2 linked regions of the Danio rerio genome follow. The protein of the gene in region 1 interacts with the protein of each later gene in a biochemical or structural test. Links are inferred from orthologs where the notes say so. Each region holds a gene or a part of one and is shown on either strand. Other genes may lie near its edges. The genes, in order: nppa and npr3.

Region 1 (4,520 bases):
AATGGAAATGGGAAAAAGGACAAGCTGCCAAAGTTTAATTGAAATATTAAGTGAATATCAAACTATATGGCTAGTTTTTAATTAAAATTGGTCTTAAACTGGAATTAAAATGAATATACAATTAGTAATTTATTAAATAATAGGTTATGAAATAAATAAATAAACATTTTAGAACATTTAGAAACATTAAAAGGATCAAATAATATAAGATATAGCATAAAAAAATAAAAATAGAAATATTACAACATTATTGTACCATTAGAACAGTGTTTAAGATCCACGTGCAGTTTATTATGAATTTTTCAGACAGGCAATGGTCAACAGGTACAAAAAATATCATGAGGGTAATTCAGAAGTGTAGTCGAGGTCACAGGCAAAGAGGTCAGTGCAGGCGGCAAACAGCATAAACAATTAAACAAGGCAATGATCAAAAAGCAAGGCTTGACAGGAATAACGCTTGCAAATGTTTTTAGAGAAACAAGACTCAGCAAAGAATATTTGTGAATGAGATGTTTTATAGTCTGAGTAGGGAGAGCACTGAAAAGAACTGAAACTGATGTTTACCAATTGAGCATCGTGCCAATGCCACAGCCTACTGAGTATTGTTGCTGACCATGTCCATCCCTTTATTACCACAGTGTACCCATCTTCTGATGGCTGCTTTCAGCAAAAAAACGCGCCATGTCACAAATCATCTCAGACTGGGGTTTCTTGAAGATGACAATGAGTTCACTGTACTCAAATGACCTCCACAGTCACCAGACCTCAATCCAATAGAGCATCCTTGGGATGTGGTGGAACAGGAGATTCAAATGCATGGATGTGCAGCTGACAAATCAGCAGCAACTACGTGATGCTATCATGTCAATATGGACCTTGTTAAATCCATGCCACGAAGGATTAAGGCGATTCTGAAGCAAAAGGGGGTTCAACCCGGTAATAGTAAGGTGTACCTAATAAAGTGGCCGGTCAGTGTATCTCTATATATTATTTATTAAACCTATATTATTTCAAACTACTAAAATGTCAATAAAATGCACTTTGTTAAACTGTAAAGTTTAATTTTCAACATTGAAAGAGATCAACATCCCATAATACAATTCACAACCGTTTATAAACAGAAAATACAGAAAACCTATAATAAACAGGTTTTTTTTTATACAGTGTCGTAACAGTGTAGTAAAATATTATGTGCGGTCATCATGCCAACAACACAAGAAATCAGTCAGATAAAACCTCTCCAATAAACATATTTTACATATAGTCCACAAAGTCATCCCTTCAGTCTGCATCATTGGCCTATATATAGGATTGCGGTCTGCTTTAACCCCTTATGGTATACTCAGTTGTAGTTTGTATCTGATGCCGGAAGCATGTGAGCCACTCGTGTGCAGCGGATTCATTCCCCATGATGCCTGAGGTCACTGTTTGTGTCCGAGTTACCAGGACTTCTCCAGGCCTGCGAAAAACAGCCACTTAAAAGGAAATCTGCCCCAGCAAGCGTTATCACAGACGAGGTGTCGGAATGCACTTCACACGCTTTACCACGGATGAGCCACTGACAGCCAACTGTCCCTATATAAGAGCCAAGCCAGTTCAGAGGGCAAGAAAACGCATTCAGAGACACTCAGAGATGGCCGGGGGACTAATTCTGACAGGACTGCTGCTCCTGGTTTGGCAGCAGACGGATGTACAAGCGCACACGTTGAGCAGACACAGCTCTGACAGCAACATGGCCAAGCTCAAGGTATTTGGGTTTATGTTTAACCAATTCAATGTGAGGTAAACAGTCAGTGCTCTTAAAAGTTAGTGGTTTTTCGTCACTGAAACAACTTCTTTTACAACGTTTTGTACAGTTGAAGTTTTCTGTTGATGTTGAAGGTTCTTTATGTGACTTTCAATATCGAAAAAATAAGAAGTAAAATTATTAGATACTCTTAAAAGGTCATTGGCAGCATGTTTACATAAAGAATCTTTAACATTCATGGAAACTTTCCAATTCTCCAAAAGTATTGTGATTCACCTATTAACAACTTCCGTTGGACAAATGGTTCTTATTGTGCGAGGGATTTTTATATGCACAGTCATTTTTCAAATCTTTATGACACACAAGGCTTTTAGTTAAAAATGATTGCAAATTACTTATGCACATTTTCTATTAGACAAAAGGTTCTTATAGTATACAAAAAAGTACTTAGATGCACCTGTGGAACAACATTCCATTGGGCAAAAGATTCTTAGTGGAAACACAATCTTTAGATTCACCTATGGAAATTTTCCATTGGACAAATAGTTCTTATTGTGAGAAAAAAATATTGGATGCACCTATGGAAATTTTACATTGGACAAAAAGTTCTTATAGTAGAATTTTTCAGATGCATATATGTAATTGTTCCACTGGACAAAAGGTTTTTATAATTGAAAATAAAATCTTTACATGCATCTACGGAACTTTCCATTAGACAAAAGGTTCTTATAGTGGAAAGAACATCTTTAGATTTACCTATGGACATTTTTTATTTTGGACAAATGGTTCTTATTTTTAGAAACATTTTTTTTTAGATGCACCTATGGAAATTTTCCTCTGAAAAAAAAGTTCTTATAGTAGAAAGAAAAAATACTTAGATGCACCAATGGAACTATCCATTAGACATCATTCCAATGGAACATTCCATTGGATAAAAGGTTCTTATAATGGTAAAAGAAATCTTTACAAGGACCTATGGAACTCAGCATTTAACAAACAGTTCTTATTGTGGAAAAAATATTGGATGCGCTTATGGAAATTTTACATTGGACAAAATAGATTTTTACATATAGCGGGAACATTTTATTTAATTCAAAAGCTTCTTATTGTGTGCTTTTTTTTTTTTTGCACCTATAATAATATTCCATTGGACAAAAGATCCTTATAATGGAACAAAAAATATCTTTACATGCACCTATGAAACTTTCCATTAGACAAAAGCTTCTTATAGTGGGAAAAAAAATCTTTAGACTCTTCTATAGTTTTCTACTAAACAAATGGTTCCTTTTGTTGGAAACATTCTTTTTAGATATGCCTATGGAAACTTTCCATTAGACCAAAGGTCCTCATAGTGGAAAAAAACCTATAGGTTCACCTATGGACTTTTTGTATTGGACAAATGATTCTTATTTTTGGAAACATTCTTTTTAGATGCACCAATGGAAATTTTCCGTTAGCCAAAAGGTTCTTATAGTTAAAGAATATTTAAATGCATAAATGAAAATGTTTCACTTGACAAACGTTCTTATATTGAAAAAAATCTTTACATGCATCTGGAACTTTGCATTAGACAAAAGGCTCTTACAGTGGAAAAAAAAATCTTTAGATTCACTTATGGACGTTTTCCATTGAACACATGGTTCTTATTGCTGGAAACATTCTTTTTAGATACACCCATAGAAATTTTACATTGAAAAAAGGGTTCCTATAGCAAAAAAAAATATTTAGATCCATATATGGAAATGTTTTACTGGACAAAAGGTTCTTAAAGTGAAAAAAAAAACTTGTATATGTACCTATGGAATTTTTTATTAGACAAAAGGTTCTCATAATAGGGAAAAAATCTTTACATGGATCCATGGAACTTTAGATTCACCTATATGGAAATTTTCCATTGGACAAATGGTTCTTATTGTGAGAACATATATTGGATGCACCTATGGAAATTTTCTATTGGAAAAAAGGTTTATATAAAGTGGAAACAAAATTATTTAGTTGCACATATTAAAATTTTTCCTTAAACAAAAGGTTCTTATTCTGGAATTTTTTTTGTTGCACTTATTGAACTTTCTATCAGACAAAAGTTCTTATAGTGGACAAATATCTTTAGATTCACCTTAGGAAATGTTCAATTGGGAAAAAAAAAGGTTTTTATAGAGGAAAAACACTTCGCAAATACCTATGGAATTTTCCATTGGACAAAATGTTCTTTAAAAAATTTTTTGATTTACTTTTTGAAATATTCCATTGCATAAATGGTTCTTATAGTGGAAAAAAAGGTTCTTTAAATTCTCGAAATGTTGTTCATGCTATGGAAAAAGGGTTCTTTTCGCAGTTGTCTACTGAAAAGTTCTTTTGGAAAGCAAAAATGGTTCATCATAGCAAAAAAAAAAAAGAAAAAAAAAGAAGGTTGAGTTGTATTGGAGCATTTATTAATGGTATTTTTAAATGATCTTGGGATTCAATATATAAAAGGTACAATATATAAAGGTCAAGGTCATCTGCGCACCACTTTTGTCCAAAGTTGATTCCAAGAGTTTAGGATTAGATTATTGCTTGACACTATTAGCAAGTTTGGCATGCTGTCCTGGGAGAGAACCATAAACTTGGGAATAATTGAGCCCAGGGATCCCGGCAAATCTTTAAGCATGTAAGGGGGTCCGAGATCAGGTAAGTCTTGAGAGCTCCTCGCGGTAAAGAAGGAAAAGAAAGCGATGGGGTGGAAGAAGGGATTCTTCCAAAACAAAGATAAAGCAGTAGGGTGAAATCAGGC
Region 2 (3,830 bases), on another chromosome or scaffold:
TTTATATTTTTTATAATAAATTTATAATTTTATAATAATTTGTAATAGTAATAAAAGCAATAATGAAAGGAGTTTTAATTTCAAACTACATACCATATGAAAGCAGTTATTTAAAATGTAAACATATATTTAACAATTTAACATTTAATAAATGACACCTTGATGCACAGAATAACTTTCATACATGAAATTACATGAAAAAAACTTTGTCAAACCTTTGACCGGTAGTGTACATCCTTCATTCTAATGTTGTTTTATTGAAATGACAAAAAGAGTTTTGAGTATTTCCACCTTGAATGTTCATGGTGAAATTGGCTGCATACATTTCAGCGTCTGCTACTTTGTCCTGTGCCTTTGAATATGTGTGTTCTGCTAACAAAAACATACATTCCTGATGACGAAAACATAACTTCAGTCTTTCAATTTTTTTAAAACAACATTTGACTTGTGGGAGGGGGTCTAGTAACTCGCACACAAGTATTGGCTATATTACAAATAAAGTTACAAAAAATGTATGTAGGGAGCGGCACAGTGGCTCAGCGGTTAGTATTGTTGACCCTGTAACAGGCATTGTTATGGCCTGGTTGACCTTCCGTGCATAGGTTATCATTAAAACAAAAAAACAAAACAAAAAAAAAAACATTTTGCTTAAAATGGTTCCAGGAATTTAAGTTAACCAAACTATTTGGTCTATTTTTTCTTTCTTACAATGCAAGTTAAAGGCCTAATATTCAGAACTAAAGTATATATTTTTTATTGTAATAACATTTTATTTTATTTTATATTTTTTTATTTATTTATTTGTTTATTCAAAATTTCTTTGACATTGCTAATTTTTGAGTAGTAATGTATGCAAAATTTTGTTAACATTTTGTCCTTTAACATTTAAACATTCTCTTAAATTTTGCACACTAAGTTCATTACTAGGAAAACAGTAATGCATATTTTGTGAAAAAAAGCAAGTTGGAATCTTAAGACTGACCAAGTACCATTTGATTCCCATTATTGTAGTCGTGAACAGAGGTCTCGCCAGTGTTCTTGCCACTGTAATTCATTAAACTTCCCTTACAAAATAAGTGCTCAGACATGTCTGCGGCTCAGACCCGTCTCAATGACCACAGCAAGACAACTAAACGTGAAATAACAATGTTCCACTCAGCCAGAATCATCAGGAACAGGGTCATGTTTTCCTGTTAAATGAAATAATATTTTAAAAATCTCAAGAATTCAGCAACACAGATGTACAGATGAAATTACCATTTCTGCAGTCAAAGCCAACAAAAACGGCAGGAGGCGGATGAGATTTCCTGTTGTATTGCCCACCCGGAATTTGTCGACTCTTGCCGGTGTTTTCCTTGGAATGTCTGACTCTTCAAACTAATTAATTTTCTCATTCCTCACATTCCGTTATACAGGCATTGCTGGCCAGGTGTCTTTGGATGCCAATGGCGACCGGAATGGGGATTTCTCTGTTGTGAGGATGACCGATCCAGAGTCAGGAAAACACGAGGTATTTTACAAAAACCTCTCGACAGTTCAGACATTTGAAACTAATTTATTCTAGTTTACACGAATACGTTTTAGATTTAAAATGGCGTTTTAGAACAAAAACGATCTACATCCACACCAGACCTCTGAAAACGCACATCACGTGACCGCGCACAAACACTTGGCGGGTGCTGAGCACACCTCCCCAGATGGGAGCAGTGCACATTGGACAGTTCATCCAGGATGTTCCGCTGGATCTCATCTCACTATAGTAGTTAAACGTGATATTTAATTCATCTTGTCTCTATCTAACGACTTCTTGGTCTTTTGGATCTATTACTTGTTCTAAGGTAATGTGTTTTGGCCGAGCGTAAAGATAAGTTAAAATATTAATGTAACCACATACACTGATTTTGCACATTGATTGCTTGGCTTTATTTCCTATATTGTATAAACTTGTGTACTTTTAAAATGGCCATTATGAATTATTAAAACTGATATTTAGCAAAGGAGAGGTTATGTTTCTTATTTTTCAAAGAAAAAGAAAGAAGGCAGTTACATGATACCTCAACATTTTTGGCGTCTGTTGCTAATATCAAGAAGAAAATATGCAGTAATGTCATATAATTATTTTATTGTTTAGATTGTAAGATGAAACAATGTAGCAGGGTGATAAGATGAGGTTAAAAAAGTGCAAGGTTCCCTTTGAAGATTTAGTTCAAGATTTGTTTTCCATATCAAACTCATATCAAAAGTCTGAACTTAAGGATGCTAGACTGAACTTTGTGCACTTAATATTGAGGGAAAAGCCCCAATCAGGTGGCCATGCTTTCGGTTTTCAGATGTCTCTGTTTTCCCTCATCCACACGGAGCAGCAGCGTTTGAAAATGAAAAAACGGCCTTTATACTTTTTCCAAAATGCTCCATTTTCAGGGCTAGAAAACTCTGGGGTAGTGTGGAAGGAAGGCGTAACTTATGCATTTTAAAACAAAAACGTATTAGTGTAAATGGGGCCTAAGTTGTTTAGTCAGAATTGAGGAGAGTCAATACAGGTAGTCACTATAATGAATGTCTTTTTATACCATCAGACTGTCATGAACTACTTCGGCACTAATGGAAGTTTCCAGATCTTGCCGGGCTTCAAGAGGGAATGGTTCTCCTTGCGAACGATACCACCTCCAAAACCTCTCGACCCATCATGTAAATTACCTCTGCTGCTTTAAGACTGGCACTTGTTTGTTTGCTTTATTTCTGTAACAGTGTGGATTTAAACCCATCTAAGTCATAGATGGGTCTAATAGCCCATTTCCACTGAGTGGTATGGTTTGGTACTGTACACGTACATGTGTACAATACACATTTGTTCCACTGTCAAAGGTACCAAAATACCATTTCCTAAGGGTGTACAAATACAGTACAGTACCAAAAGGGCGGAGCTAGACTGAATAATATTGGTTTATAGAGAATTGTCACCAGCGCATGCAACAAGACAAGTGGAACGTCAACACAAGAAGTGACATTTTTAAATACACAGCCAAAACACAACACCGTCATACAATACAATACATAATACAAGACCTCACAGAGCAGTGAACCATGCCCAACCCCAATCTCAAACAAACTGTCATATGCTAAGAAGAAAAAACAGGATCTGCTTTATGTCCTCTATTTTTGTTTAAGGGACTGTTCACATGTTGCGTCTAAACGAGTGGAAATTGCAAAAGGCCCGGTTCATCTGTCTAACTGTGCAGGCTTGCCACGCGTCTACATTTAAAATAATAAACTTGAAGTCATAAAATATGCCATATGTGAACAGTCAATGATGCTGATCACAACTTTCTGGCATGCACAATGACTACCAAGAAAGTGTATTGTTCCCAAAGGAAATGCAGGCCTGATTAGGGTAACCACCAGTACTGTATTGTTCAGAAAAATACTGCTCAGTGGAAATGAGACATTGTACCTTATACAGTACATATTGTTTAATTATTATGAATAATCATTTATTATGATAACTCCTGGATTTTGTAGATGGAGAGCTTTCCTTATACATGGTTTTACTTTCTCTCCTAAGCAGGTGGACTAGGTGTATCAGCGGTGACTGGGATAATAGTAGGGGGGATTCTGGGAACAGCTCTTCTCCTGGCATTCTACTTCTTTAGGTAAATACAGAATACACTCTTTTTTATGAAATATATATATATATATATTAAGGGTGGAGCCGAACCCGAATACGGTATTCGGAAAGGCACGAATAGCGTGTTTTTACGAATACTTGATTCAAACAAATACTTGAAAAATTATTTGTATTCGGGAGCAAGAAAAACACTATATCAAAAAGC

What was found.
Region 2: the proteins of nppa (region 1) and npr3 form a complex in vitro, tested with the Homo sapiens proteins (4 studies listed by BioGRID, with this or other methods). The link is inferred for Danio rerio from reciprocal best matches to the Homo sapiens genes NPPA and NPR3.

Annotation. Positions count from the first base shown.
Region 1 is NC_133183.1:58,370,458-58,374,977, forward strand, and holds the start of nppa (natriuretic peptides A precursor), read left to right. Parts: upstream 1-1,595; 5' UTR 1,596-1,633; coding exon 1,634-1,747; intron 1,748-4,520.
Region 2 is NC_133180.1:42,184,488-42,188,317, reverse strand, and holds part of npr3 (atrial natriuretic peptide receptor 3 precursor), read left to right. Parts: intron 1-1,415; coding exon 1,416-1,510; coding exon of another isoform or gene 1,511-1,564; exon of another isoform or gene 1,565-2,540; intron 2,541-2,576; coding exon 2,577-2,688; intron 2,689-3,562; coding exon of another isoform or gene 3,563-3,565; coding exon 3,566-3,650; intron 3,651-3,660; exon of another isoform or gene 3,661-3,783; intron 3,784-3,830. UniProt on the Homo sapiens protein: Receptor for the natriuretic peptide hormones, binding with similar affinities atrial natriuretic peptide NPPA/ANP, brain natriuretic peptide NPPB/BNP, and C-type natriuretic peptide NPPC/CNP.